3 linked regions of the Astyanax mexicanus genome follow. The main gene of each other region encodes a partner of the protein of the gene in region 3 in a complex. Links are inferred from orthologs where the notes say so. Each region holds a gene or a part of one and is shown on either strand. Other genes may lie near its edges. The genes, in order: dhx16, bud13 and cwc22.

Region 1 (10,876 bases), on a different chromosome or scaffold from region 3:
ACGCAAAAAAACAGGCTTAAAAAATGTGTGCGCACAACATCTCACGCTAGAACTTATAAAGAAATGCTTGGCATAAAAACGAGCGTAAATTTAAGCTAGGTTTGAGGCATACTATCACTTTAAAAGATTGCGGAGAGAGCGGGAATTAGTGCCATCATGTGGTAAAAGCACGGAATTGCAAGTAAATGCGTTAACCTTCCTCACGTATATTAATTCATACTGCATATATCAAGATTAAAAACGTAAGATCAAAGTATTTCAAATATAATAAAATATAAATATACGTGTTTAAATAGATTTTTCATCTGCATGTATAAAGTTTTAAAGCTTGCCATATCTTATTCTGCTTTATATGTAGTATTTTTATGCTAACTTGTGTATTTTACTTGTAGTTTATTTAAATTTAATTTGTATTATCTGGATTAAAAATCTAGAGGTGCTATCTATATAATAATAATAATAACAATAATAATAATAACAATAATTATTATTGTTATTATTATTATTGTTATTATTATTATTATTATTCCTAGACAACCGACAAATACTGCAATGACGTTTCCAGAGATCATGAACATTTTTTTGGGAATAAGGATGACAGGTTAATGAATCGATTTAGGTTTCCAGTAGCCACACTCATTGAACTGTGTGATGAGTTGGGTACAGATTTTTAGAGACCAATGTTTCTTGAACCAGGCAATAAATGAACACTTACATGTGTTCACAACCCTTGGAAAAGCTTTTTAAATTTGAAGACCTTTTTATCCTTTACAACAGTTTGGATTGTGGAGTTATCATTATTAATTGCTGCAGGCACATGTTGGCTGCAACCACCAAACAACACATTCTTCCTCGCCTCAACCTCCGAAACAAGGAATTCTACTTCACAGTCTCTAAAATTTCACTTTGTTGTCTTGAGTTCCTGTTATCCCACTCAGGATAAATGGGGAATACAATATTTAAATAGTCAGTAAGTGTTTTGCATGGACTTTTATGGGTAAATGTGGGCAGCAGAGTGGCGAAATATGCAGCTGGGTCACCTGCAAATATTTATAAGCAGATTGTAATTTATATAAAAGGAAACAGCATTTAGGTTTGCGTACACACATTTTTTTTTTATCCAATTTTTTGGGTGGGCGCAATTTCCTGTTTTTTATGCGTGCACACACTTTTGCTTCAGAATTTAGAGTTTTACAAATGAGGCCCCAGGTCTGGATTTTTAAATATCTATGTGTTAGAGCTAAGCAATATGCAGGTATTTCAGTAAATTGTGATACATTTTGTTATCATGAGACACAAAATATTTTTTCTGATGGACATCATGGACATCCCCAGTGCTCCATTAATATTGATTAAATTATTAAATGCATATTTTATTACAAAGTTTCATTACAAGTGTAATTAGTCTTTTTTTATCTGGGTGAAGTGCAACATATTTTACATAAAAAATAAAGAACTGTATTAACTATGGGAGAGTAACTGAATGGCAGTTGTGACAAAAAAAATGCAGATACAGATGCTTTTGTCTACACTGTCAAAATATTGCAAAAAAATATTGTGATAATATTTTACCATAGCCCAGCCCTACTTTTCTTTTCCATACTAACATACTACCATTCATCAAAGTTTTCACATACATGATATTAATTTCAGTCCTTTAAATCACGTAGGGGGTCATTACTTTTTAAACAAATTCAATAAAAAAATAGAACTTATTGTTGTGTTCTTTGAATGTAATTTTAACACCTTTAAAATGATTTCCTAATTAAGTGATGAAATGAGCAGTTAAATATATAATCTGATACCTCGACTGCCAAGGTGTAATAACTCCATCATCTGGTCCTCCAATCAGCACCAACTTCTTAATGCCCAAGAAGCGTTCTCGCCATTCTGAAAAAGAGGAACAAAATACAGGATTCCGTTCATGTTCAACCAAAGCATAGATATTTAATCAATTTATGTTGCCTTCAAAACTGTCTTAAAGTAATTTAGTAGTAGTGTTAGAATTTGAAAAACAATAGCTTTTTGTAAATCTTAAAAAAGAGATTACCTGTTATATTGGGGGTTTTGCTCTCGCCATTTAAAAGGGCAAGATAAGTGTTGCTCTTCAAGTACTTCACTCTCTGGTGTGGATCTAAAGATGACAAATTGGATATACAATGATATCAGAATTTAATTATTTGTATCAGAATAAATACTTAAATTAAAGATTTTAATAAATCTACATTGAACAGAGCTGAGCAATATTTCTTTATTTTTTTGCTCAAAAAATTCAATAATTATTTCACGAAACCCAAATAAGCACAACATTCAGGTGATGCTAAGCTTTATGAAAATATATTCATTGTTTTTTTGCAATATTTGTAACACTTAAAGAAAATATTGTATTATTTAATCCAAAAAAGTATACTCAATTCCTATACGTTAGATAATGTTTGTCCCTAAAGAAATTTACATAAACAAATTCTAGACATTCCAATCAAGCCACAATTCCCATTTTATTACATCTAAAAAAAAAAGACAATGTGGTGAAAACCTCTAACCATTCCAGAAGTTGCAGATTGAGATCTTTTGTCCCCAGCAGTTGTAGCACAGGCGATAAACTCCTGACTTAATATCTTTTGGGAAGACTTTCTTCAGATAGGAAGTTTCTGTAAAAAGAGAGGTGATTTTAGTGTTTGAAATTTTCAGACAATTAAACTTTGTGTATTTTCTAACAGTGTTTCTATATATTATTATTTTTTAAATGGCACCTTGATGGTACAAGAAATCGTAATTATAATGTGTGATAAAACTGTACAAAATAAATAATATTTCTGTAAAAATAGAGTTATTAAAAATAAAGTTATCTGTAGTTGTTAAACTGTATTAAGATAAAAATATATGACAGCAGCTGAATATTGAATTGTAAAAGTTATATTAACCTCCGTACTGGCCAGCTAGTGGTGATGACAGAAAGATCAGTGAATGAACATTGTGTTTCGGAAGAGTGGCAAGAAGTCCACGGCATACCAAACCACCTGCACAGTTAACCCATATGAAAATACATCAGTCAACCATAACAATACTATCTCCTTTTCCCCGCACATACTCACTTGTCTTATACGATCTTGTAGGAGCATGTTGCAGTTCTATAATTACAGACTGTAGTCATTCAGTTTCTCTGCTGCTTTATTATCCTCTGTTTACTCTGTTCACACAGGACCATCAGAGAACAGGTATTATTTGGGTGGTGGGTCATTCTCTATTCTGTAATGCACATTACATACTTACAGTAAACCCCGCTACTATGTCATGACCACCTGACCATTAAAAACAAAATATAAGGACGACAATAATGTATGCAGAGAAAGAGATGAACTACGGTCTGTAATTATACTATATAAACTATATAGTTCCTAACAGCTGAAGAAACTTGGATTTGGACATGAAGGGCAGCAGACCTTGTGAGAAGCAAATGAAGTGAATTCCATCTGTGGCACTTTCCATGATTGGCAACACAGCCTTTCTAAAGCCCTCAACCTGCTGCCACAGGGGTTTCAGACTGGCCATGTTGTCATACAGGTCTACTGTGGTCACATTGGTACCTGGGTGAGTCTAAAAAACAAAGTGAAAAAGAGAAGTCAAGGATTTTAATTCATGAACTGAAAGAAACTTAGTTGCAGGTTGGAAACAGCAATGCCAAACTACTGATACACCCACACACTCCCGCTCTTCAACACACACAAACACACAGAAGTGCTTCTTAAGGCTGGCCCTGGAGTACCACTGGACTGCAATGTCTCTGGCCCCTGCACCAACACAGCTTACAAGGGTTTTGTAAAGTAGGCCCTCAGTTGGATCACATGCTGCCAAATGGAGCTGAGAAATACTACAATGTGGTGCAGGGTGGTGGTACTTCAGGACCAGCATTGAGAAGTGTTCTCTATCTGGTCAGAAATAATTCAACTGAAGTAAAATTAAATCTAATTTTGCTTTTCACCACTATTTTGTCACAGTCATGCAAAAATGTTCCAGAAGCAAACAAAAACAATGTTCAATGGAACTCAATATAAAAAGAGTGTTAAAATAGTAAAAATAACAAACATTGCTTAATTAATACAATTAAAAACAACAAGTAAAAATATTTTAACAATATTTAATTATTCAATGTCCCCCTCTGCATAACAATTTTAGGCAAATGTGTGTGTCTGCTAGGTATGCAACAAAAATGAGTGAATTGTTTTGTAACAAATGTAAAAAATAATAAATAAATAAATAAATAAATACATAAGTCTGTATTGATTTATTGTGCACCCCATAAATTAAAAGATTTTATGCCAAGTCAGGAGCATTTCTATTGGTTGTATACAAATTACAAAACTGCCAAATATCATGTTCATGTAGAATGTGGGGTAGATTAAATGATATTCAAAAACCTCAAATTTAATCCTTGGTATGTAAACAAAATAAACCATTGTAATCATTTTGGAGCACAAAACCCTAACCATAACCCTTACTGTCCATAATTTAATGGTTTAATGTTCGTATTATCAAGATGAATATATTTATGTATTTCATTGCACACATACTGTTCCAGCCAACTCTGCATCGTAGTAAATAAACCTTTAAAATAGAAACAATGTTCTGTATTGGGTGAATCATTTGAATATCTTGAATATTAATTATGATGATATTAAGTCAGCTAAACATGGTTATGGAGAACAATACTATTTTTAACTACACAGACAAACAAATCAGTTTGACCTAGGAATATTATTAAGGTTTCTTACATTAAAACTATTTACAGCTAAAATAGTGGTCAAAAAGAAAGTTGTGTATGTTACATTTTAGGCCAAAATTCCACCTTAGTATTTGTGCAATGTAATTTGTAAACTATTTCAGTTTTTATGGGGCATAGTATATATTCATAGGGTATAGTATTCAGCAGTATTTCTCAACCATAGTCCTGGAGGCCCACTGCTCCCAACACACCTGATCCAATTAATTCATTAGCTCACTAACAACAGCACGTTATTGTGTTGGTAAAATGTGCAGGGCAGTGGGCCTACACTGGAATAGAGCATTTCACACCACACACAATTATTTAATCTTCATAAACACAGACAATTACAAGACTACTAACTTACCTACATTTGTTTTTTTTCTTACCTCACTGATAAATGTCCCCAGCTTCACAAACTGTTTGGGGCCATCAAACAGCCCATGAACAATAACCACTGGTCGATAGCCACAGACAACAGCTAGCAAAACGCAGGAAAGCACAAAGTTTATAAAATTCCTGATCATTTCTGCCTAATTAAAGCGTATATCCACGATTTTCTTGGTTAATGCCTGTCTAAAGTGGCGGTGACTTTAAACCCAGCACTCCTGACGCTCTGAGAGTAAAAAATGCGGCTGACAAGAGGCTAATTCCCACTTTAAGCTGGTAGGTGGTTCCTCTTATTTATTTATTCAGGTCTAATCTCAGAGACCACTTCCTTCACCGTGTGCAGAAAACAACACCTTTTAACTGAAACCGGTAACAAGTATTTTAAGTGTACTACCGCACATCAGGCCCACTTCACTTTTCTAGTTAAGCCACTACACACACAATTGTAGATCTGAGCGGCCACGAGCAGTGGGCGGAGATTAACCTGCGTTTATTTGCATGTAATCTGCATATCGCAAAAAAAAAAATCTCGATTTCTTTCTTTTTTATTTTTGCACATGTATTTGCAGTTGTTATAATGTCTTTATATAATAATGGACAAATAAAAAGGTCAAAAATGATATGAAAAAAAACGGCTTTCTTTGAAACTCTAGAAGTTTTTTGTTCTCCTGTATTTTTTTCGTTTAAGGAAAGGTTTTTGCATGGCAGTGATGATGTTAAGTATTCTGAATGTACTAAGCAGCAGACACAAAAGACAGAATTTATAATAATTTAGCTTTTTTTAATAACTGATATTATGCATGATAAATGTCTGAAAAATTTAACAAGTTTTTAAAAGACTAAAGGGTTGTTAAATGAAATAGTTATTTGAATCCATTAGAAGAACAGAGCCCTCTAACAAGAACATAACATTGCAAAGATTTTTAAACAGAGATTGATTTTTGAATTGATTGAAAATTAATTTGAACTACTTTTTAAAGGAATCAAATAAAAAAAAGAAATATATATATAAAAAAGTCTTTTTTTATATTTCATATTTACTCAAATGCGTTTTTTGAAACGGCCACTTAAGATTTAAGTCTATGAGAATTATTGTCAAATCTGGTGAAAAATGTTACAATTAACTTATATACTACAATTTAATTGTAAATTAATTGTAAAATTAATAATTGAGATCACACTGACCCTTACAGAGTTTCTTCCAGTTTTTGGATCTATATATATACATATATATATATATACATATATATATATATGTATATATATATATGTATCTGTGCTTTTATTTTGTCAGGTGGCGGCTGGTCGAACTCGGAAGTAAATAAAGTGAAGACAGCGTGAGTAGCAGCAGCAGATACAGTGCTGCTGTTTTAGTCTATAAAACCCTGTGGAGTCCTTCGTTAACAGTCTGATGATGAGAGTCAGTGAAAGAGAATGGAATAGAGGAGATAATATTTCAGTGTGAAAGAATCAGGGTCTGAACTTCAGACACACAGACTGTGTTACAAGCTTCACCCTCAGCTGGACTACAGCTAACAGCTAACAGCTAACTTATCCAGCCTGAGCTCTGGATGCTCCCTGATCTGCTCAAACTGGAAATAAGCTTTAGTTAGGTAAGATTTCTTCTGTTTAACTGTTAAATTGAGTAAAACGATCTGGTACACTCTTTCTCTTTCTTACTCTCGTTAGTTTTAGCGAGTCATGGGGGTTGTTTACTGTCTCGGGGATCTGCATGTTTCGTTCACAGTTGTAGGAACTGTGCCTTATCAGACATTAAATTCTATTTTTTTGCTTTAAAGTATATATTTCCTCCTTTACAGCTGTGTTCATTTACCCATCACATCAGGTTGCAAAACGGCATCAATAACATCAAATCTAATCGAATCAGATCAGATTTATTGTCAGAACACAAGCGATTGAAAACTCTCTTATTTGTTAACATATAATATACCCAATTAAAAATACAGAATATGCACACGCACTATTATTTTTTTCACTCACTGCTTCAGTTGAACAGGATTCGAATATATAAACAGTAAAATATATAGGTGCTTAAATCACTATTTACACTGGAATTGGGACATATTAAAACAGAAGAACTGTAGTACAGATTATGTGCATATTAGCATAATGATACAGAATGAATTAGGTGCAGGTATGGAAAAATACAAATACAAAAAGGCTAAATTTAATAGAGAAGAAGAATTCAATAGGTTAGATGTCTAAAATCAGTGTTCAGTTTCAGGGTATAAAATAATATTAAGAGATAAGGGATTTAAAAGGAGATGATTAGGAGACACCACAACCAGTCTGACCATGGAATATTACGTGTTTGCATCTAAAGTTTATTTCTTTAGATCTTTACTGGTGCTATGTCGCTAATATATATTTGAAAAAAAGTAAAAAAAAAAAAAATGTGCAAATTCGTTTTTTTAATAAATCCATTCCTTTCAGCAAAGTGTTTTTAAAATCTCTGAAGCAGTCATTGAAATATATTAATGTTTAAAGAAGTAAAAGTTATGTGATTGGTGATGTTAACATTGAAGCACAATGTGTTTCAGCTGTTCATCCTCCCTTCAACATGGCTAATCTTGAGCAGTGGGTGAGTGACAGGCTTCACGACATCTTGGGCCTGAGCGACCGGTACGTGGCCCAGTTTATGATCGGCCTTGTGCAGAAGTCCTCGAGTTCACAGGATTTTTTGGCTCGTCTGGAGCACACCGGCACCATTGACATCGACCAGAGAGTCACTGCTTTCGCACAGGAGCTATATAACAAGGTACCTTCCAAGTTAACACCAACTGTGTGTGTGTGTGTGTTTGTGTGTGTGTGTGTGTTTTGTTGTGTAATATCGCTTTACTTTGATGATTGACACCTTTTGCTTTGTTGTGTTCAGATCCCAAAGAAACAGGTTGTGGAGAAACCTGCGAGAGCGGTAGAGCGTCAGGCCATCGAGATGGACAGGAAGAACCGAACATACACCCTCCTGGAGGACAGTGACAGTGATGGAGATACTGTCAAAGAAAAAGGGAAAGAGAAGAAAAGCAAAGATAAAGATAGAGGGAAGAAGAGAAAGCACCTAAGACAAAAACAAGATGACGGTTCATCAAGTGAGGAGGACAGAAAAAAGAGGTGAGATATTAAATGTTTAAGTGCAGAGATGGAGGAAAAAATTATACTGGATTTCTCTGACACTTTGTTTATGGGAGTGTCGCATAGACCTAATGCAGATGACGTAACCCTAACAAACAATATGGTTTTGTCCACTTAGATTCCTTTCACTTGTTATTTCCATTAGAATTAAATACTTTGACTCATGTACACCACTTAAGTTTTCCATTAGATTTTTTTCCTGTGTAATTTTCATTCATTTGAGTTTCTGTGCCTTTTCATTTAATTAGTTTTGTAAAAACATTCAGCCAATTGTATAACAGTGTAAATTGAATTAATTTTAAACTGTGACAATTTATTTAAGCTATTATGTACTTGTTCTACCCTTGTGGAGACTGCACTTGTTAAATTGTGCTAAGTTGCAGTGTAATTCAGTGTAACCGAGTAATGTTTAAAAACCACAAATGCTTAACTTAAAACATGAATACTGAATTTGATTACCTGAAAACGGAGGGAGAGTTTGTTTTTAAGAAGCTTTAAAGTGCATATTTAAATGTATTATTTTTATTGTTTGTTTGCTTGCTCTGTTCAGCACAAAAGTAACATCCCAAGATTCAAAGACAGGAGTAAAAGAGGATGATGAAGAAGAGTGGGAAAAGGAGGAGCGAGAGCGGTTACAAGATCTGGAAGAGAGAGACGCATTTGCAGAAAGAGTCAAGCAGAGAGACAAAGAAAAGACTAGACATATACTTGAAAGAAACGATAAGAAGGTATGAGCCCTAAAACATCACTATATTATATGTGTAAAACATTGTTTTACCTTTTTAACTAAAACTAATGTAACTGAAACTTCCTCTTTGCTCTTAGGCATATGAGGAGGCTCAGAAGAGACTTAAGATGGCTGAAGAAGATCAGAAGAAAATGGTAAGATATTCCTCTTACACATCTCATTGCATTTTATAAATAACACTGAGTAGTTTAAATTGAAAGATTGCCACCTCCCATTGTCCAGTATTCACAATTTAAGATGAGGCTGGATTGTTTGTCAACTAAAGTAACTAAAGCTTAATTTGTCTTGGATATACAGTATACTTCACATTGCAAAGCGTACTATATTTTGGCTCATTCACACCTATACATGGTTTGCACTGGTCTGCTGCAGTTAAAGATTTTTGTAAACATCAGATATGACATTCATGGTATGTTCATAACTGTCCATTTCAGCCATTAAAAAGTGCAAGTGTGAAAGCCCCCTTAAATAACGTCGTTTCACGTTCTCACAATTCCTCCACAGCTCCCTGAGCTTCGAAAACAGTCACGATGGGATTACCTGGCCAAGCGTGAGCAGGAGAAGCTGGAAGACCTGGAAGCAGAGATTTTGGATGAGGAGTACCTCTTCTCCAGCGATAACCTCACTGACAGGGAGAGGAAAGAGCTAGACTACAAGAGACAGATCAGAGACCTGGCACGAGACTACAAGACAGCTGGAGCAAAGGAGAAAGAGGAGAGAAAGAACCGCTACTACATGCCAGAGGAGAACAGAAAGAAGGTAAGGTGGAGCATTTTGGGTAGATGATAACCTACATATCTACATTAGGTGGTGGGAATCACAGGGCATCTCATTCTACAATATTATCATACTATCATATTATCATATTATCAATATGTTGCCTATGATTGCAATGATATCCCAAACTGTGATACTCCAATATATCGCACTGAAGAGGGTAAATTATGGATTTATTGGTGTCCGTTTCATAGAACAACCAATATTCAATATCACCACAAGTTTACCCTGATCATTTGATTAGAGCCACCACGTGGAGTAATGAAGCAGTTACTTTAGTAAGTCAAATTCTTCTTGAGCAAGTCTTAAGGAGTTTAGAGAGCCTGTGTTTTAATAAAAATATTGATAGTGTAAATACATGTGGTGCAGGTGGATGAGCTGCAACAATTCTAAGGACTTTTAATATCAGGGAAAATGACTTCTCTTAAACAGTACTTTCAGGGAAAAAAACAGTAAAAGAAGAGTCAGCCTCATTTATTTATCAGTATCTTAAAATATTCTTAAATTGTTCTTTGAGAAAAGTCTGTCAGATTCATGATGTGGTTTTAAACTTTAAAACTGTTCACATCTCTGCTCTTATAATGATTGATCTAAAAAAAAAACACTGGTGAATATCAGAATCTTTGTGAAAACTGCTTAAGTGAGTTTTAAAAGAACTCTATAAGAACAAAGAGCCTGTTATTTACTTTTTATTTATTTTTTATTTTTTATTTTAATTTTTTTGCTCTTTCCCCCGTTTTTCAGTCCATACCTCAGAGAGACCTGGAGCTGGAGTTTGAAGAGACTCCCCGCGAAGGGGGTGGGGAGCAGGGCCGATGGGAGGAGGCGCGGGTCGCTACCGCAACCTTACAGTTTGGAGCAAAAGCGGAGAGAGAGCGACGGTTAAAGGAGGAGAAAGAGAAGTACCAATTAGTGCTGGAGGAGGAGGAGATGATTAACTTTGTAAGCACTGCTATCACCATGAAGGGAACACAATCTGAAAAGGTTTGTAGATAAATAAAAGTGTATACTTTTATTGAATGTATATATATATATATATATATATA
Region 2 (11,420 bases), on a different chromosome or scaffold from region 3:
TTTAAATGAACTGTATGAATGAAAGTAGGAATTCATGCTCATTGTTCTTAATGGAGTTCTGGCTTCTTCCCAGTTCTGAATATTGATACAAAATTAATTATATTTACTTTTTTTCTTTTTGTGATAAAAAGAGCACATGACTGTAAATATTCTAAGGTTATAATCCAGATGTAACATGAAAATTGTATTTTATTATTTTATAGTTAAAGGAGAACTCTGGTGTAAAAATGGTTTGATGAATAGCACACCTCTATATAGACTCTGCATAGCGTAGCAGTCGGCGCCAGGAGTAATGGTGGCACTCACAGCTGAAGCTAGCGTTATAGGATATAAAAAGTGTTTTTATTGAGCTTCTTGTGCACTTTTTAAGTTATTAATGCCTTGTTTTAACGATGGAAAAATTGATTTATCGGGGTAAAATATGCCCCGTGTCACCCAGTCTGAAGGGTGTTTGGACAAACTGTTAAAATTTCTGGAGAACTGAGTTGTGCTATTCATCAAAGGTAAGATCTTTTCATCGTGTTTTACCACACCAAAATTAAATTTAAACATCAAAATTAAAAATTAAACTTCTTTAAAATCAGGTAAGAACTAATTATATATAACACAAAACATACATTTAATTTAAGCATTTTAAAGGTTACATGGTTGGAACAGAGCTTTAGAAGCTAAAATACACTTTTAAAGAAGCTAGTTTTATCTCTTGCACTAAACCAGTGCTTAGATGAACGAACGCAGATTCAAACACCGCCCTGTAGTGATGCTCTCAGGATATTCAGCAGGCTATATGTAACGTAGGGACTTTATAAATAAGTAAAGGACAGAACTTTACACAGCTTTTAAAGGGTCTGCACGCATAGATCATTATAGGTTATTTTGGGTTAAAATGTAAACTGTCCTATTGATGATTTATTTGAAGAATACCCTGTATTACCCTGTATACACCCTAAAAAGTGTATTAAGTATATATTTTTAAAGTACATACTTTTTAAAATTAAAATATGCACTTAAATACATACTTAATGTACTAATTTGGAACAACGTATGGCAACTTAAGCATATTTAACTTTTAATTAAGCTATATTTAAATGCAACATAAAAGCATTAAATTGTGCTTTTGAGTGCTTTCTCGTACAACTTCTGCAAACTTAAGTAGATTTAAGTATGTGTTTTTAAACATACAATTGAAGTATATTTTAAGTGTACTGTGTACTGAGCGTACTGATGCACATATTGTATACACCTCAATGACTATGGAACAAAGCAGTATTTATTGCTACTATATTCTATCAACACAATGTATACTAAAGCACTAAAGCATATTGCTTAAGAATACATTTTCTGGAAATACAGAGAAAGTATATTTAATGTGCTTTTTCTTAAAGTATGTAAAATTGAAAACACACTTTTATATTCTTTACCTTATTTGAAAATACTTTTAATGCTCTTAAGTATATTACTTTTTCACAAGGGTAATCTTCACTTTATTAGCTTTTTTTTATCTAAATGTGACAGTTTCCGTGACAGTTTCTGTCTGATTGCATGCGGCACGTGGTCAGGGTAAATTATATTAAGTCATGCACTGGTAGTTAAAAGCTGAAACTAAAATGATAAAGTTATGAGTCATATATATGTTTTAATGTCTAGATCCTGTTTAACCTGTTTTACATGGCCTACCAGTCAGACCGACAAAATTCCACATAATTTCATCATCATCATCATCATCATCATCATCATCATCATCAGGTCCTGTCTGTACATTCATGAGCGTTTGGTTTCGCTTTCTTTTCTTCTGTAGTTTCTTTTCTTTCACATGAGTTTAAAAGAGAAAGAAAGAGAGTGAGACATGTTTAAAAGCACAGAGTCAAATTTTCAGCATTCTGTGTTAAAGCAGCTTCACACTGCACAGGTATATGTGCTGCAGCACAGAATCTTCTCACTATATTTACTTTCTTGCTCAAGTGCCAGACAGCTCTGACCAATCAGAGGAGAGGATGTCACGTGGTTTATTAGTGCGCATTTGTTGCGTTAAGGTTTATGCCTGTGTGAAACCAAACCAAACAGAGGGAAAAACACTCCAAATAAACTATCTATATAAATAAACTCATAAACTCAATAAACTCATCAACTGATCCGGATCATAGAAATTTCACAACTACAGGTGTGTAAACACTCTTTTATACTCAGCAAATTTCTAAAGTTCTAATTCAGAAATACCTACAACCAAGCTGAGATGTTTATAATAAAGTAAAAAAAAGTTTTCTTTATCAAATTGATCACGCATTCTTTATTTCAGCACCCCATGTTGGCTTTATCTCCCCTCAAACATACTAGTATATACTAGTATTTTAATTGACACCACTAGTATAAACTACCCCAATTATAGCTGGCTGCGGCTGCTGTTTGCGGTCACCATGATGTAAATTGGAGTTATCAGTGTCCTTCCACTGGGTCGTGTAAGCAAGATACAAGTGGTAGCTGGGCCCAGAACTGGGCCATGTAATATCAGAAAAACCTTAAACACAGATTAATTTTTGAAGAAACGAAAGTAAAAATCAACAACTGGCCTAACATGTTGCCTGATCTGAAACCTGTTGGGCATCTTTGGGGAATCGGAAAGTACTATGTTGAGAAATGTAACCCTTCCAAAGAAGCTTCCAGAGCTAAAATAATAATTCCAGAGCTGTGAATAATAATCTAATCTAATCATTGAAGTCAAATGTTATTTGCTCAACAACACTGTCTTCTATGCCAAATGTCCAACTCTGGAATAATCTTCCAGAATATATTCGGGACTCAGACATAGTCTCAATCTTTATCTTACTTGTTTAGTTTAGATTTTGATAGTTAATGTTTTTCCCTTTAGATAAGGCTGCAGATCCAGGGGTTCATGGATAAAGGGAATTGTGGATAAACTGAGATGCTGGTACTGCTATTGGTGGAGTGGGTGGATGCCAGTCTTTCAGGGTGCCTCCGTGTCTGTGTTACCTTCTGGCTCTCTGCCTTTAGTTAGGCTGTCATTAGCCACACTCTACATACTGTTCTACATACATCCAGGCAAAAATAGTTCAATTTCTCTGCCTTTCTGTGTTCTCTATCTATCTCTTCTACATGTATCGAGATGCCCTGTTCCTGAAGTACCTATTACATTAGATATAGCTCCACATGTTTTGTTCTGTTATTTGATTGTAGTGAGCGGGTCGACTCGAGAGGGATGGGTTCCTCTGAATGAGTCTTGGTTCCTCCTAGAGTTTCTTCCTCTTAATGTCACTAGAATAATTGATCTCTGTGCTCTCTATCATCTCTTTCCTCATAAGAGGCGTGAACCTGTTTTTCTCTGTAAAGCTGCATTTTGACAACTTCTGTTGTAAAAAGTGCAATATAAATAAAATTGAATTTAACTGAATTGAGAGAGATGGATAAAAAACATAGAGAAGTGAATAAGATCCTCAGTTCTTTATTGATTGAATTTCTATTTTCTAGACTTAATAAAGTAGAATGTTTATCATAACTAACTTTAATACTGTACGTCAGCATTGTATAAAACATTCTGTTGGTCCTAGTGCTGGAAGTGATTCCAGTACCCTTAACGTACCCTTATCGTCTTGCTTTAATTGCATTAATAACCTGGATACGGTTGGGATCCCACACACAGTCTTCTTCAAGACCACTGGGAACCATGCCGCACTCTGGAGGACACCAGGCAGTGTCGTACCCGTGATCGTGCCAGCTCTTCTGCAGTGGGTGACCTTGACGATCAATTTTCTTCACTCTTCCTACATTAACTTTTACACGCAGGACGACTCTCTGGTTCTCAGGTAAATTCAGAGGGTATCTGCTGGCTTTATTAAGATCACGGCTGAGGTAAACACCACGCCCCAGCATGCCGTCTACAGACTGCTTAAACCCATGAGCCATGATACTCTCAGCAGCAGGTCGAGAAGTGCCGTGATACATCCGATACACTCCTCCCTCTACAGGCTCTGAACGGCTCTCAAGACAAGGCACTCCTGGAGGACCCGAGTCGTTTTCTGCCCACATGATGAAGTCCACAGAGTGTGTTCAGATCACTGCAAAAAATACAAAATACTGATACAATTTGGTGCTTAATCATTTTAAAGAAGTCTTAAAGACACATAAATTCTGGGTGAAATTTATATTTGCAATGTTCAGGCAAAAAAACAGGCCCACGTATAGCCAGCTGTGTACTTTGGTGAGCATTAGTGTTGCCTTTACACATTCAAATGATATATCTGTATCAAGCATTAAGTTTGTTGCCATTAGAAACTTCTGTTCTTCTAATGGTAATAAAAAAATAAAATTGTTAGAAGATGACCTAATAGACAAATGTAAATATATCAATTATATTTCTTTTTAAAAAAATGTTCATTGTGTTTTATTTATTGTTTTTATATTTCCTAACATTTTCATCCACTGTGCTGCTGTAACACTGCAAATGTCTCTTCTATGGGATTAATAATGGGTAATCTAGTCTTGTCTTTTTTAAGTCAAGTGGCATGATGGCCCATGTCAACATGTCACAACTTATTAAGATGGCTTCATATCCTACGGCACAGGAAATGCAATGAATAGTACATGATGTATACAGAGTATACAGATAAGACTAAACAAATGATTCTGCAAGCCTCATTACATGTACTGAAATCCCCTCCACCCCACCCCCGTCCTCATAAAGTGTCTAAACAAAAAGTTTAATTCTTCATTAATCACAAAGTCAGAAGGAGATCAAGTATATGTATATATAATATATATTTAAAAGAGCAAGCTTAAGTTTTAATGCCTACCTGGGTTTGATTATCACAGAATGATCTGGAGGATTAGAAATGAGCGCAGCCTTAAACAAACCGTTACTTTTCATTTCCTGATCATGAGCGTGTAGAAAAGACACCCACAGACATCCTGTTGTTGTTTCAAATAGATAGATGTAGATAGCCAGTCTTCTTGGGGAGTTCCTTCTATGTGAACCTCCATATTTTAGAAAAGGCAGTTTTATTCATATTTTATTTGCAGTTGTGCTTAAATAGTAATAAACAGCATTAATGTAGAGCTGTTCACTATATAAACCACTGTTTCCTTTCATTTATATAAATTATGTAAGAAAAGCTCAATTGGGTCAACATGATTACACTCCATTATTCATAATCACTTTCACTGCATTTTATCTCGGTTTGTAGGTTTGGGGGAAAGAAATATAAAAATAGAAGAAGTTGTTTTTTTATCTCTGTATTATTGCTGTATTTTCTTGTGGGATAAATGGCTTTCTTTTCCCAAAAAAAGATGGTGAGCAACGCTGGACATTATTGTTCTCCTCCAAGAATATTGATCCTTGAACAGCATTAGAACATTGGGTGCTTATACTGCAGACAAACCAAGTCTCCCTGAAGTTGCGGGAGTCTCCCGCATTTCGGTACTGGCTCCCTGAAATCAACTTTTGCAACTTGGGATGTCTGATACTGTATAATGTATAATGCTGTTATACTGTAAATTTCCAGTGTTGTAATAAAGTCATGCAAATCTTGCTGGAGTTGTATTGCTGCAAAAACAATAACAGCTATTTCTTTCATAGCTTTGATTTTGTGGTTAGTAGAACCAAAAATAGTCATTATATATTTTGCAAAAATGTGTTTTGGGGAAGGGGATAGTGCACTATAGGACTCTGTGGCGTAGCCTAGAACTTCTATTGGTAGATTCATCAAAAATTTTTGACAAATGAAAAATGGAGATACTTGTTTTTCATTGGACAGCAACGATTTTCTGGATTGTTTAACACTTTTTTTTTTTTAGTTTTTTATTAGTTCAACCTTATATTTACAATGTAAAAAAAAACATAAAACTCATTAAATAAGAAGACTGAAAGACTTATGACTGGTACAACAGTATATTTCACAATGAAGTTTTTAGTCATTCCCACAAAAAAAGCGTTTTGTACTGTATGTCCCACAACGGCTCCGGTTGTCGTTGTGACGTCGGTCATAAACACGATGGCCGCTTCCACAGGGCTGAGTAAAGGCGCTGCTCTGTCTAAAGCGGATTATTTAAAGCGATATCTGAGTAAAGATGCGGATAATAAAGCGGATAAAGAGAAGAAGGGGAAGAAGAAGCGGGTTAAAGCCCCGGGGAGAGGGTGAGTGCGGCCGGGACTGCAGGAACTCAGAGCTATGCTAATGCTAAGCTAAACAATCCAAAAACACACAGAAACTATGCTAAGCTAAGCTATGCTAACACTACAGCTATAACCCATAGAGCGGGGAACTCCTACAGTACACTACTGAATTAAATACAGTGTTATAGTAAGCATTAATCAGACCCATTCAACCTTACATGCTGCTTTTTATAGTAAACACTAGGGGTGGGCGATATGGCTCTAAAATTATATCACGATATTTCAGGGTATTTTTGCGATGTAGGAAAACTAAAATAATTCATTCATTTCAGGAATATAGTATAATAGTATAACAGTATAGTCATAATGTGGCAAAATAAATCTAGCATAAAATAATATAATGCAGCAAATAACGTTTCAGAATATTTAGTGCATGCATATAAACTGCAAACTAAAACAATTATACAATAAATACACCTAAAGCTTCACAGTAAATAATAGACTATTTTTAAGACAGAGAAGCTCTATTATCACAATATTGATTTTTAATATCATGATATTTCTGTGTCACAATATATCGTATACAATATAATATTGCCCACCGCTAGTAAACACTATAACTTTAAAAGTCTACCTTTAGGAAAGGATACATGTAAAATATGAAAATCACTGCAACATGAAAGAGTTGTTTACAGGTTTCTGACAGAAGCAAATATCAGTGGACCACGGAGATTATATCACAGTACTTAAAGATATTCTGATAATCTTATGAAGCATTGTTTTTATTTTGGTGTTTTTATTGTTTTGACTCGAGGAAAAGATATTCCAGAAGTGTATCTTCTTAAAATTTATATTCAAATACTCTTTCATGTAGGGGTGAGCAATATTATATCGTATACAATATATATCGTGACACAGAAATATCATGATATTAAAAATACATATCCTGATTAGAGATGTTCTAATAGAGATGTTCTGTATTAAAAGTAGTCTATTATTTACTGTGAAGCTTTAGGTGTATTTATTGTATAATTGTTTTAGTTTGCAGTTTATATGCATGCACTAAATATTCTGCAATATTTTTTGCTGCATTATAATATTTTATGCTATATCTTTTATTTTGCCACATTATGATTATGCTGTTCTACTCTTATACTATATTCCTGAAATCAATTAATTATTTTTCTGTTTTCCTATATCGCCAAGTATATCGTTATCACAAAAATACCCTGAAATATCCTGATATTATTTTAGAGCCATATCGCCCACCCCTACTTTCATGCAGAGTACAGTGATTTATGTTACTGAAATGTTTACACTCTCTGTAATGAAATGTACAGGTCAGTGTTCTTGTGTGCACTGTTTTAGGATGAAGATTGTAGATGATGATATTGACTGGAGGCAGCTGAGCGCGAAGACAGAAGAGGAAAACAAGGAGGAGGAGGAGGAAGAAGAAGAGGCGCCTGTGGTATATTACACTAGTTAAATTTAATTGAAATGCATTTAAATTATATTTAATAAAGAGTTCAAATGTAGAACTTCAACCAGTTATGTAAAAACAGTAAAACTCTTATTCAGGTCACAAAACACCTTAAGGAGAGGTGTCCAAATCTTTTCCAAAGGGCAGATTGGACTATATCAATCCCTGCTAAAAGAATTAACCAAAGATGAGCCAATCATCCCTGAAAACCACATAGTCTCTTCCTGTCAAAAGCTAGTTAACGAGCTACCTAACCAGCATAGGGAATGTTTTTTTTTTCTTTTTGACCAGCTGGTCTTGAGCTGGATTTTTAGCAGGGTTATTCCTTAGATATAAGAGATGCACAATGATAATGGAATTATATCTCCCCCCCCCCCCCCCCCCAATATGGCCAATATTTCAAACCCGTAGTTTCTGATGTATTAATTGTATGCTGGAAAAGGTGTTCGTTCTCTACTACAATTGGCTAACACTGGCCATGCTACTAGTACTAAAATATATTGATATAAGCCTTTTTTGTATCAACTTTAAAGTTAAAAAGTTATACTGTGATTTCTAGTCTCTCTGTAAGTTATACATGTGTATATCTGCATCAGAATCGGCAGCTATATCCATATAATGCATGTAATATTGGATATCTGCATCAACCCAGAATTCCCACATAGTGGGATAGCGATAGCTAGATTTCCCGGACATAAAATACTACAGTACAGTCGATGAACAGACAGATTTAAAAACTTTGGTGGATCAGTGCAATAGATGGTAGGTGCAATATGCAAATGTCATTGGATATAAGATAAACTGGACTGACTGGGTGTGCATATATACACATCTACACTATATGACTTTTTTTTTTTACCTACATTATATTATCAAAAGTATTCACAGGTTCCAGTCACTTCCATAGCCTCAGGTAAATGAAACCAAGACCCTGGTCATACAGACTGCTTCTTTAAACATTAGTGAAAGAATGGGTCTCTCTCAAGGGCCCAGGGAACTCCAGCACTGTGGTACCCTGATAGGATGCAGCACCTGTGCAACAAGACCAGTCGTGTAATTTCCTCACTACTAAATATCCCATGTATGCACGTTCCTATATGTGCCTACCCATTCATCTGTGGATGAGCCTGATAAAAAATTAACTTGTAAAATGTTCTGCCTGATTAAGTCATCTCTGCAGCCGAGCTGCTTCATCTTCCATTCTTGAAGCATAGTGTCTCCTTTGCAGGTTGCAGAGATAATAGACGAACGTCCAGATGAAGTCCAGCAACTGGAAGCATTTAGAACCAGTAACAAGTGGAGGATAATGGGAGGTGAGATGTCATATCTTGACTTTCTAATGAGATTAAATTTAAAATGTTTAGTTTCTTACTGAATGTAATTTAGGTTTTCTTGTTTATGTCAAATTTCACAGCAACAAATGAGGAATCCCAAGAATCTCCAGTTTCACATTCAAGGTAACTCAACTTTATCCTAACAGCTGACAAGAATTATATATTATCTTATGGTCAGTAGGGCTGCAACTATTAGTCGATGTTGATTTAAAAAAAAAATTTAATCCAAATTTCAGTGTTGACTATAGCGAAGATATAGTCTCTCTAGCGAAAATGGAGGAAGCTAGGAACAGCTTAAAGCCGTACCTTCAGGTAACAAAGATGAAAAGCACGGCAGAAATAACTAACCGCTAATTAGAGGGGAAAAATAGTCGCCTACCAAAATAATCAGTTGCTGCCCTAATTCTCCAAAATCTTTTTTTTTTTTTTTTTTTTCTGTTTTTCACTTTTTGATAGAATGTTGTTCTTCAGGTTCTGTTTTAATGTTGTTGATTTGATCATAAATTGCCACAGTAGCCTAGCTGTTAGGTGGGAGGAGGCTACTGGCGCTGTGTAGGAAATAGTTGGATGGAAATGGGCTCTGTGTTCAACCCAAGATGTAAGGTTCTTCAAATACTGTGGGACATTTATCGACAGAGAAACCAGTATACATGCTCTAAAATATATGTAATTAAAATCATTTTCGATTGACTTTTATAAAAAGTTAAGAATTTTAAAAAGGTTTATATTTTAGCGATTTGAAGTTGATTATGAATATCTTGACTTTACTTCTGTATGTGTGTTCCTCTCTCTTTAGTTCAGAAGTCAAAGGGAACAGAAGAGTCCGACATGATTCTCCTGATAATTCTCCAGTGCGTCGAACTCGCCATGATTCTCCTGATCTTTCACCACAGAGGAGAGTCCGCCACGACTCCCCTGATCTGTCCCCCAAAAGAAGAGTCCGCCACGACTCGCCTGACCATTCGCCACAGAGGAGAATCCGACACGATTCTCCAGACCTTTCCCCACCAAGACTAAAGGCAGAGACATCACGCAGGCGGCATGACTCCTCGTCACCTTCTCCTCCACGAAAGATTATGAAAAGCTCATCTTCTAATTCACAAAGGCAACAGAGCAGAGGTACGGGTACTAAGCTCTTTGATTTTTCGTACACTTGCGCCATTTCCATGGAGTCTTTCACCCAATCCCATTTTCCCCACTGATTAGCCCTGACCCTTTGTTTTGCATGTCCTGATTCTTAAGCTGTTAGAATGGAGGGGTAGGTTAGGGAAAGTGCTGGGGCTACATGGCCCTGCAATTTAGAATTTTCAGGGGAGCACTCTAAACGTATGGCTATGAGAATCACTGGCAAGATGGTGCAGCACAAGTGATCAAAAGAAACCCACAAATTTGGGTATTTTCCTTGTTAAAAATGACGATAAGTGATGTTATGTAATAACAAAAGTTTGAGAGAAGGACCACACCCGAACCCTACATTCTAACCCCACCCTGTATCAATCAGCCGCCCTATAAATACCTGCCCTAACTAACTACCTCTCGTGACGAAAGTTCGCAACCCAGCTCCTCCCCAACAACCCCCCTTCTTCTACTCCATCACTTCCTATTAAATAAAAAAGGGGGGGGATATAACTGCACACTCCTTCAGCACGCAGTTCAGAACTCCAGCCCAAAATTCCCCGAGTTCCCTCCCCTTTTTCCTTCCTTTCTCTACTTCATTTAGGCGTGGTCCGCACTTTGCTTGTTTTATGGCTGTTTACTTTATAACAAGCATAAAAAATCGCTAATAGTTTGTATTAGTAGTTAGCTAGCTAACTTGTTCCATCTTAAATGGTGTAACAAACATAAGAAGCTGCAAGATTTATGGTGGAATGGAAAAATAAAATTAAATTAAAGTGAATAAAGGCTAATTTCAGCCCCCATCACTGAGGAATTATGAATTATTTATCCATACCTGTCATACTGCAATATCATCTGGGCTAGTACCTTCAAAAGCAGTCTCACAGGCCTACATATTCTCCAAAAACAGTAGGTTAGAATGATCACTTCTTCTCCATTTACTGCTGCCTCTCGCCCTCTGTTTGTGAAATTAAAGATCCTAAATGGTTATAAAATTAAACCTTTTTAAACAAGTTGATTAATTTTCTTATTTAAATAAAACCTCCTACCAGACTGTTTCCAAAACATACCCCTATTCAACTCTCACATCCATCACCACTTTACCAGAGCCTCTGACAACCTACACCCCGCATTTTATAAAACTACTTTACGTCAATTCACAATTTCATCCTCGTATTTGGAACTATCTACCACCCGACGTAAGATCTTCCAGTAATCTGATTTCCTAAAAAAAAGCTAATTAAAGACCACTTTAGGATCAGTTGTTACTTAAATCTATATCATTTCAGTCATACTTCTCTACTTCCTTTACTTCATATTTTGTATATAACTTCAAATGTAATTCATTTAAATACAATGGGAAAGT
Region 3 (10,786 bases):
GGCGGTTCGTTTTCAATCAAAACTCAATTTGCTGTGAGTGTAGGAACCCTGCCGGGGCAGCAGACGGGCTTTTCTCCTTTGTTGCCGGAGGAGCCCGTGAGCCGGGTCCTGAGCGGTTCTGAGTGAGATACAGGAGGATGAAGCTCCGATCCGAAAGAGGAGGAAGGAGGGGGGTTGGTTTTGCCTCGTGGAAGAATAGCCTTGGGTTTGCTTCCTCTGCAGAAACGAAAGGCCTTCAGGGAGAAGAAGCAGCAGCAGCAGAGACCCCCAAGCTTATAGAAACGCCGGCCAGTACACAAACTTATCTACACAGTGGGAACAATGGGAAACGGCCGGGCCCTCGGCATCCAGGGCGCTGAAGGGATAAATTATTAACACAGACTGGTCATCGCTATAAAAAGGATAAAGAAACAGACTGAGATAAAGCAGTATAAGCACTTTACCCTGAGCTCCAGAGAAAAACTACAGATTTAGCCTCAATTCTGCATCCGAGCGTATCCACCGTATCCACCGCATTTACGGCACCATCCACCCTGATATCAGTCGAGCACCCTTTTAAAATAGTGGAGGAATTTTCAACTCTAAGCTTAAATCTCTGTCAAACAAAAAACAGACCCTCAAACGCAAGCTAGACACAAAATGCAGTCAAATATAGAGGTGGGCGATATGGCCCTAAAATAATATCACAATATTCCATGGTATTTTTGCGATAACGATATTCTTGGCGATATGACAAAACATTCAATTAAAACATGCAAAAAACTGCAAAAAAATGAAAATGTATTTTTAATATTGCATACGATATTATATGGCACATCCCTAACTGAGATATTTAAAAAATAAATAAATAATTTTATCAGATTTGTAACAGAAGTCAATGATCCTGAATAATCAGTCATGATACTAATAAGTGTTATTCTAATCACGCCAACCAATAATGCACTCCTCCAAATATCTCCATATAAAAGAAAGGATTAAAATAAAATAAATGAAAACAGTAAAAAGTAGAACCCTGATGTGATAATTAGGGGTGGGTGATATATGGGCATCATATTTCAGGTTATAATATGGTTCAACTTCACCATATTTAAAATAGTTGGCGATATTATCGCATACGATACGATATGTCACAACCCTAGTCAAATAAGTAAAAGAACCAATAATGCAGGCGGTCACCACTAATGCATTAATGCATGCCATTTGTTTGGGAAAATTAAACCTGTTTGTTTTATTTAAGATAAATTATTCACGTGCGTCTGAGAATTTAAAGAGCCTGGAGACACATTAGCGGTTTTATTAGGCGACAGTGCCACTTACTGACAAGTTAGGAAGACTAAACAGCACTGCTGAGATAACGCCATGAATATAATGACCTTGTTGAGGTGAATTCACAATTAGAACAGTCACAATGCTAAGGTAAATGCTGAGGTAAATGCTGAGGTAAATGTATAAATAAAAGAGCACTGCTGAGGTAAATCCATGATTAGAATAGCACTGCTGAGGTAAATCCATGATTAGAATAGTGCTGCTCAGGTAAATGTATGATTAAAAAGAAAGAAGCTTTGCTGAGGTAAATTCATGATTAGAATAAAAATATTTTTTGTACACTGGAATATTTACTATTTCAGGTTCCAGACTATACATAAAGAGATTAAATGACAAAGATAAAGTGGAAAAATTATACATTTTACCTGTAGTGTATATTCAAAGAATATTGAGATTTCATTTTAATTTCTGAGGTAAATGTATGATTAGAATAGCCCTGAATGATAATGTTTTGTGTGCAATAAACATTTTTAAATTGTATATCTGCAGTTGTTTTTTCTTTTTGAAAAGCAAGACAAACATAAATGTATACTATTTAAATTTTTAATGGTATATAAAGATAATTTATTAAGTTTGTACTGTGAATAAAAAACTTAGATATGACTCACAGGAGCTAAAATACACTTTTCTTTTAGAGCTTACGCTCTTAAATTTTTAAACACTTCTTAAGTGGAACAGATGGAACACTTACTGCAACCTGAAACTCCAAAATAAACTACTTTATCAAATAAAACGTTCCGAAATAAAACAGGAAGAGAAGGCTAAGCTAAATAAATCATGTTAAAGCCAGTGTCAGAAGGTGTCTGAAATATTAAAAATGGATTATGGATTTTTTTATTTACGTTCTGATTCTGAAAGTACCTTTTAGGTCACATTTAATCTCAAGATCATAGAATGATAAGACTACATATATCCCTAGATACAATACTACAGTGTATAATTAGTGTGTTAGTGTGTACAGTGTATTTCGCCCCACCCCTATAGACATTTATTTTTGCTTTTTTTTTTATCATACTTACATTTTTCAGATTATTAAACAAACTTCAAAAACAGAAAGACCTGGGTAAACATAAAAAAAAGCCTTTTTTACTATTTCTTGTAATAAGGGAAAACAACATTTATCCAAACCAACCTAGCCATAGCTACAATGAAAATCACTAAAATAGAACATATCTGAAAACATAAGGAAGATAAAAGATCTAAAAAATCAGCACATTATTATTCTCCCATCTGAAGAAATTCAACATCAGATGAGAAAAAGTTACTGATCATCTTTCAGTCTGGAAAAGGTTATAAAGTCATTTCTAAAGCTTTGAGACTCCAGAGAACCACAGTGATTCACTATTATTCACTAATGGAGAAAAAACAAATGGAACACTGGTGAACCTTCCCAGGAGTGACCGGCCGACCCAAATTACTGCAAAGGGCATGAAGAACTCATCCAGGAGGTCCATAAAAGAACCCAGAACAACATTTAAAGAACTGCAGGATCTCACTAAAGCCTCAGTTAAGATCAGTGTTAATGATTTAATAATAAGAAATAAATAATAAAAAAAAAAACACTGCTGACCAAAAACAGAGAAATACAACCACCCGTCTCACATTTACCAACTAACATCCTGATGATCTCCAGCTGCTTTTTATATTTACTTAGGTTATATTTGTTTGATATTGAAGTTTGTTTGAGAATATGAAAAATATAAGTATGACAAAAAAAGCAATGACAAAAGAAATCTATAAGGAGCAAATATATTTTTTACGGCACTATAATAGTGTAGTGTGTATTAGTTAATATAGTGAGAGTTAGGTGAGAGTTTGGCGAGAGTTTTATAAACACCACTCTACTGGTAAGTGTAAATAAACACCAAGAGTTTGTGTGTTAGTTTAAAACAGTGAGTATAAGTGTAGAGTATTAGTGTAGTATATTATAGTGAGTATTAGTATAGGTATAGTATTGGTGGTGTTGTAGTGTAATGGTGTAGAATTAGTGTAGTATAGTGAGTATTGGTCTAGTATAGTGAGCATAAGCATAGTAGACTACAGTGAGCATTACTGTAGTATAGTAAGTATCAATGTAGAATATTCTAGTGACTGCTAGTGTAGTATAGTGAGTATTAGTGTAGTATGGTGAGCATTAGTGTAGTACAGTGAATTTTAGTGTATAATAGTTTTCAGAATAGTATAGTGTTAGTCCAGTACAGTGCATATTAGTGTGGTATTAAAGTGTTAGTATAGTATAGTGAGTGTTAAAGTAGTATTACAGTAGTAATACAGTATAGTATTAGTGTAGAATTAGTGAGTTTTAATGTAGTATAGTGAGTGTTCTACAAGTAGTCAGTGTTAGTCCAGTATAGTTAGTATTAGTGTAGTATTATAGAGTGTTAGTGTAGTATAGTTAGTGTTAGTGTAGTATAGTGAGTGTTATTGTAGTAACTAATAGTGTTAGTCTTGTATTACAGTGAGTGTTAGTGTAGTAAAGTGAGTATTACTGTACTATAGTATTTGTTAGTCTAGCACAGTTATTATGAGTGTGGAATAGAGTATCATTATAGTAATTATAGTGAGTATTAGTGTAGTATAGTGAATAGTAATGTAGTATAGTGAGTGTTAGCTCTAAGTTTGGTGCTAAAGTAGGACAGTTGTTTGAACACCATAATTACTGTAAACATCATTACTATTAACTGTAAATAAACACTAAGAGTGTGTTTGTTAGTTAGTATAGGGGGTTTATTAGTGTGTGTGAGCCGCATTTGACCTTAAATCTGCTGTTTAATGATCAATAACCCGATTAATCGATAGTTGTGTAGTATGAGATTAATAACGCGCGCTCCGGGAGTGTGTGTGTACACAGGCCGCTCTCCCGCTCTCTCCCCCCGGTCTGTGTCCCGCGCTCTCCCCGCTCCGGGTCCCGCTCCCCCGCAGCGGTATCTCCGCCGCCCGCTCCCCGGCTCCCGCTCACCTGCTCCGGGCTGCGGGTTAATCCCTCCGCCGCCTCTTTTTCTCCGGACTCCGCCGCCGCCGCCATGTTCGCCTCTTTCCACCACGAGTGGAAGCCGCTACGGGTACCGGAAAGGGACAAACAACAAAAGTGAAAACGCGTTTTAGACGCAGCTTGAAGTCGATGTCAGAAAAAAAGGCGCGACTTCCTGTATGAACACGGTAACGTTGCGACAACGTTTAGACAGTCTATTATTTTGCAGCTTACAACGTTTCCTAAACGATTAAACGTAGAAACTACTGTGTTAAATTTAAACAAATAACAAAATAAGACGTTATTGATATTATCTCAATAAAACACATTATTATTATTACTATTATTATTATTATTATTATTATTATTATTATTATTATCATAAAAAAATCATATAAATCTTCACTTTAACTAACTTTTTCTATGTTATATACGGTTTTATTGGTTGTGGGGGGTGAGTTTGTCTGCAGCACTGCCTGATTACATTACCATGGTCCTTTTAAAATATTATATTGTTAATTTTTTAAACACGTTTTTTTTTTACAATGATTTAGCTATTTTAAATGTTTATTATTAACATTTGACATCATCAGTGACATCACAACCAAGGTATTGTTTTTAGGGGGCAAATACTTTCTCACATATATTTTTTTTCACAAATAAATGAAATTATCGTTCAAAAAAAATATTTTTTTAGTTACTCAGATTATCCTTGTCTGATATTAAAAGATTTTTTTTTATTCTGAAAATGTAAGTATGAAAAAGAACCCAAAACTAAAATGAAATACTTTTTTTACCACACTGTATTTCTTGATTATTGTTTATTGTAAATGCAGTATGCCTACTGAGACATGTGGGAAAGTTTAAGACAGAGGGAAATAACAGGAGTGTGAGAATAGGGAGGAGTGAACCACAGAGTCTACATGGCTCCCCCTTAAACCCTATACTAATTATTTAGCTATTAATACTAATACAGTAAATAACTACTGATATTGTGAATGGTGGAGTTCCACAAGGTTCAACTGTAGGACCTATAGAACTTTAAATATCTGAAGTGTGAAAATAAAGCTTATATGCAGGCTCTACCAGGTACACAAACAAACCTGATCAAGGTTAAAATTTTTAGGTTGAAATCAATACCTTATACATTTTTTTAATATAAATATTTTCTGAGTTGCTTTGAAAATGCATTGCGGACCACAACTGATACCCATATCACTGGTCTATAGTGTTCTGCCCTTTGTGCTCAGCTTGAATGCAGTGAAATAACCATCTATTTTGCTCAGAATAAGTTTTGTGCTTTTTGGATTGGATCACTCTTTTTAAGACCTCCTGAAGTAAACAAGACGTGTAATTGGAGCAGGAATGTCCTGTATACTGCTATATAAGACTTTCCTCTCAGTAATACACCTGTATGTCTTGGTCCTGCAGCCAGACAGAGGCTGTGCCCCTGACGTCCTCCACCAATCAGAGAGTCTCAGCTCTAATTTAACTATCCCGTTGGCAGGACATGCCACACACTGCCCTCTCTGCCCGCTGTGCCCACTCTCTCTCTCTCAGTACAGGAACCAGCGCCACAGGCCCTGCCCCACCACACAGCCACCAGACGGCCGGTAAACACTGTGTGAGAGAAATAATAATGAATAGAAAATAAAAACAACAAAAACAACAAAGCTAAAATTGCTTTACTTACATAATAACAGTTACTGCTGCATATTCAGCCAGAGGTTCAGTTCACATTAAAACCATAAAACTGTTCTTAACACTATCAAACATTTCAGCAACATACACTCATTTATATCAAGGTTTGTGCATGTTTAATGTATTTATTTTAGCTTATTTTTAAAGATAAGATAAGAGAAAACTTTAACTTTAGTGGAACCTTTAGTCTCCTGCTTGATGGCAGCAGCTGAAATGATGAGTAAAGAGGATGGTTATGGTCACAATGCACGATTATAATCACCTGTAAATCACCTGTATTGTGTATTTTTCAGATTTGGGGTTGTGCGTTCATCGCTATCTCGGTAACACAGGCGCCGTGCCGAGCCGAGCGTACACCCCCACTTATTACACACACATGAACACACAGCAGCACAAACCCAACTTTTACATCAACAATAAACAGAATAGTAAATAAAATAACATTGCTGTTCCCGTAAATGAGCTGCTGGAGCTCCTTCACAGCGTCAACCAGCAGCTCAGTTTCCTCTGCTGAGAAGAGTTTGTTGAACACGTCCAGGTAGCTGCACCGTTACAATAGCAATCCACCAAAGACAGAGCTCACCTGATCTACTCTTAAAGAGAATGATGAGCTGAAGAGACTCTCTGATTGGTTTATTAAATTTATTTCACGTTACGCCCAAAATTAACCACACCCATGATTAATACTTTTCCCGTCTTTACAATAGCAAAGACACACTGCCACGCCCTAAATCAAGCTTCATGGTGCACGAATGATGGCACACCTATGGATAAATAGGACCTAAGATCTCATGTGTCTAGAAAAGGAATTAAATTTAGTATTTATCTCTAAGTAGTACAGTAGGGCAGGTTACTGGGCTGGTGAGCTGGCACCGGATGCTGAGGCGGTGTTGGGCGTGTGTGTGGTGTGTGTGGTTCAGGCTGCAGTGTGTGTGGTCCCTGATGGCGGTGTGGACCCGGTGTAACCCAGTTGAAGCCCGGTGCCGGCCTGGGCCGGGTCCAGCTCCATCTGGAGGAGTTTAGTGTGTGATGGGATGCAGCTGCTCACCAGCCACACCACACTAATACTAACACTCCTGCTCCTACTGCGGGAGAGGACGCCCCCTACTGAACATCTGAAGAACAGCTCTGTAAAATAATAAGAGAGCACTTAAAAATGATGAGTTTCTTTGATTTTACCAAATTGAAAACCTCTGGAATATAATCAAGAGGAAGATGGATGATCACAAACCATCAAACCACCAAACTGAACTGCTTGAATTATTACACCAGGAGTAAAGCAGCATAAAGTTATCCAAAAGCAGTGTGTAAGACTGGTGGAGGAGAACATGATGCCAAGATGCATGAAAAAAAAAACTGTGATTAAAAAACAGGGTTATTCCACCAAATATTGATTATTTCTGAACTCTTAAAACTTTATGAATATGAACTTGTTTTCTTTGCATTATTTGAGGTCTGAAAGTTCTGCATCTTTTTTGTTATTTCAGTCATTTCTCATTTTCTGTAAATAAATGCTCTAAATGAGAATATTTTTATTTGTAATTTGGGAGAAATGTTGTCTGTAGTTTATAGAATAAAACAACAATGTTCATTTTACTCAAACAATCTATCTCTCTGTCTCTCTGTCTGTCTGTCTGATTATCTCTGATTAAACTCGGCAGAGTGTGTACAGACTCTTTGCTTACACAATACCGCCCCCTAGTGCTGATCAGAGGCAGTGCGTTACTGCTCTCAACCTGTTTATATTCCAATATATTTGCTTCTTTGGTTCTAGTGCTGTTTTTTTGTGATAAGGGCTAAGCTATCCTTTCATTGGCTCATAAACTTTTTATTTGGCTTGTTTAAAGTCTATTCTGATTAAAAACAGCTCTCGGTTAGTGTTTTGACACTTAAAAAAATAAGAAAATGCATGATGCCCATTGTAATGAAAGCAGGGTCTGAAAGGGTTAAAAAATGGTTTAATGTTTTTTTCTTAGAGTTATAGCCACTTCCTCTATCAGTATTTTAATTTTAAGTGGGAGTGAGTGAGTGTGATTAATTGCTCTTATTCTGTTATGTTGTGTAATAAAAGTGTAACTAACAGTGTTTTATCATTCTGAGATAATCACTCATCTCATCATATCCTCTGTTTCTCTAAAACTCGTTATTAAGCGTAATTGAAGACGTCACCTATTATCGACTCGTCATCCGTCCTGAAGCGATTGAGATTCTTCAGTCTGGTTCATCACTCATCAATCATCATCATCACTCATTACACATCACTCATCAATCATCACTCATCATTCATCACTCATCGTTTATCATTCATCACTCATCATTTATCACTCATCACTCATCAATCATCACTCATCATTCATCACTCATCACACATCAAGCATCAAACATTACTCATCACTCATCGTTTATCACTCATCACACATCACTCCTCACTCATCAATCATCACTTATCACACATCAATCATCATTAATCACTCATCAATCATCACTCATCGTTCATCACTCATCAATCATCACTCATCACTCATCAATCATCACTCATCACACATCACTCATCACACATCAATCATCACTCATCGTTCATCTCTTATCGTTTATCACTCATCAATCATCAATCATCACTCATCAATCATCACTCATCGTTCATCAATCATCACTCATCAATCATCACTCGTCACTCATCAATAATCACTCATCACTCATATATAATCACTCATCAATCATCACTCATCGATATTCACTCATCAATCATCACTCATCAATCATCACTCATTACTCATAAATCATCACTCATCAATCATCACTCATCACTCATCACTCATTACTCATCAATCATCACTCTTTAATAATCATTCATCAATCATCACTCATCAATCATTACTCATCAATCATCACTCGTCACTCATCAATAATCACTCATCACTCATATATAATCACTCATCAATCATCACTCATCGATATTCACTCATCAATCATCACTCATCAATCATCACTCATCGTTCATCAATCATCACTCATCAATCATCACTCATCAATCATCACTCGTCACTCATCAATAATCACTCATCACTCATATATAATCACTCATCAATCATCACTCATCGATATTCACTCATCAATCATCACTCATCAATCATCACTCATCAATCATCACTCATCAATCATCACTCATCACTCATTACTCATCAATCATCACTCTTTAATAATCATTCATCAATCATCACTCATCAATCATTACTCATCAATCATCACTCATCACATATCAATCATCACTCATCAATCATTACTCATCACACTGTCCGACCAATAATTATCTCTGATTAAAGCATTTTCAGACGCATCGTCCCTCTGCTAATCACCCAAGTCTCCGTCCCCGTCTCTGAGACGAGCGTCCTCTGAGTGACAGGAAAGGCCTGTCTTACCCTTAAACACTTCAGAGCGCATTAGGCCGCGATCCATCAGCCTAATTAACGGTACAGCCGGGCCGGCGCAGTTATTCTCCGGCCGGGAGGGACGTGACAGCGCTGTACTGTAATCTGACTGTGGATTTTATTAGTTCTGAATTATAGTGCTAATGACTCGGAACACAATGTTTTATAGAGTGCTGATCTGGCGATAATTTATAATCATCCAATAAAAGAATAAGAGTCAATAACAGAGAGAATAAGATGATGTTGGTGATGTGGATCAGCACAAGGCTGCGTCTGTGAGCTGGTGTATCAGAACCACCAGAGCTGCTGCGCTTTCCTCCGAGCGTTAGCGCTGTGATGCTACTCGATAATGCTACAGCATCAGCAGCAGTTTAAAAAGAGGCGGAGTCTGACTTCACATGTATCGGAGGAGGCGTGTGTTGGTCTTCTTAACCCTCCTGGTGTTGGAGCATCACTAGTGATGTTGGTTTAATTGGCCATGTAAATTGGGAAAAAATGGGAAAACAATTATAAATAAAATGAGTAAATTAAAAAAACGTACATAAAGAACATTCAGAAAACTTGACTGATTAATTAACTGTAACGTTCAGAAAACTTTATAGTAATCAAAATGGTTAGCTTCGGTGTTTCTACATCTGTCAGCTTTAATTCGGTGCTTTGTATTGAAACAATTTGACAAATAAATCTAAATTAATAACGTCTCCCTTTTTCTCTAATATCTAAAATGCCGAAAGTCATTGGACAGCAGTATGTACAGTCAATTAATTAACCCTTTCTCAATCTGACCCCCATTTAAAGCCTCTGAAAAAAGAGTGAAATTAGTTTTGTGATTCATATTTATTGCCTTCTCCTAATTTGATAAAGACAATAAGTAAAACATAAGATGTTTCAAATATATATCAACTTCAATGTCTGTTTTATTAGGCTGTTTTATTGGCGTAAAACATAAGAAATCTCAATATTTTACACATATTTGTGTGGTAATAATGTCGAGTTCACTTTTACATTCAGTTTTATTATCATTCTCTAGACCAGGGGTCACCAACATGGTGCCCGCGGGCACCAGGTAACCCGCAAGGACCTTATGAGTAGCCCGCAGACCTGGTCTAAAAATAGCATTTTTGTTGCTATTCTTTTTTTTTTTTAATCACAGTTGCATTGGTGTAATTTTAGATTATATTAGATTAATATTAGCTTAGCCTATAGTTTATATATTATTATACAATATAATGTAATATAATATGTAATATTATATTAAAATATAATATAATATAAAATGTAAACAATTGCAGAGATTTATAAAAATAGTGTTGCATATTGATATCTGTGTCTTCACATAGATGAATGTCATTAATTATTA

The links.
Region 1: cwc22 (region 3) and dhx16 share a complex: the UniProt entries of both Homo sapiens proteins name them as parts of the minor spliceosome. The link is inferred for Astyanax mexicanus from reciprocal best matches to the Homo sapiens genes CWC22 and DHX16.
Region 2: cwc22 (region 3) and bud13 share a complex: the UniProt entries of both Homo sapiens proteins name them as parts of the minor spliceosome. The link is inferred for Astyanax mexicanus from reciprocal best matches to the Homo sapiens genes CWC22 and BUD13.

Annotation. Positions count from the first base shown.
Region 1 is NC_064425.1:26,943,443-26,954,318, reverse strand, and holds the start of dhx16 (pre-mRNA-splicing factor ATP-dependent RNA helicase DHX16), read left to right. Parts: upstream 1-6,451; 5' UTR 6,452-6,765; intron 6,766-7,713; 5' UTR 7,714-7,733; coding exon 7,734-7,931; intron 7,932-8,048; coding exon 8,049-8,284; intron 8,285-8,855; coding exon 8,856-9,033; intron 9,034-9,130; coding exon 9,131-9,187; intron 9,188-9,557; coding exon 9,558-9,812; intron 9,813-10,574; coding exon 10,575-10,814; intron 10,815-10,876. Other genes in the region: ppt2a.2 (lysosomal thioesterase PPT2-A-like), read right to left, coding at 1,806-1,890, 2,051-2,134, 2,544-2,651, 2,925-3,020, 3,444-3,597, 5,152-5,289. UniProt on the Homo sapiens protein: Required for pre-mRNA splicing as a component of the spliceosome. Contributes to pre-mRNA splicing after spliceosome formation and prior to the first transesterification reaction.
Region 2 is NC_064424.1:6,796,097-6,807,516, forward strand, and holds the start of bud13 (BUD13 homolog), read left to right. Parts: upstream 1-5,967; 5' UTR 5,968-6,002; coding exon 6,003-6,145; intron 6,146-7,492; coding exon 7,493-7,592; intron 7,593-8,832; coding exon 8,833-8,917; intron 8,918-9,018; coding exon 9,019-9,061; intron 9,062-9,734; coding exon 9,735-10,057; intron 10,058-11,420. UniProt on the Homo sapiens protein: Involved in pre-mRNA splicing as component of the activated spliceosome. As a component of the minor spliceosome, involved in the splicing of U12-type introns in pre-mRNAs.
Region 3 is NC_064418.1:50,564,040-50,574,825, reverse strand, and holds the start of cwc22 (pre-mRNA-splicing factor CWC22 homolog), read right to left. Parts: upstream 4,406-10,786; 5' UTR 4,352-4,405; coding exon 4,286-4,351; intron 1-4,285. UniProt on the Homo sapiens protein: Required for pre-mRNA splicing as component of the spliceosome. As a component of the minor spliceosome, involved in the splicing of U12-type introns in pre-mRNAs. Promotes exon-junction complex (EJC) assembly.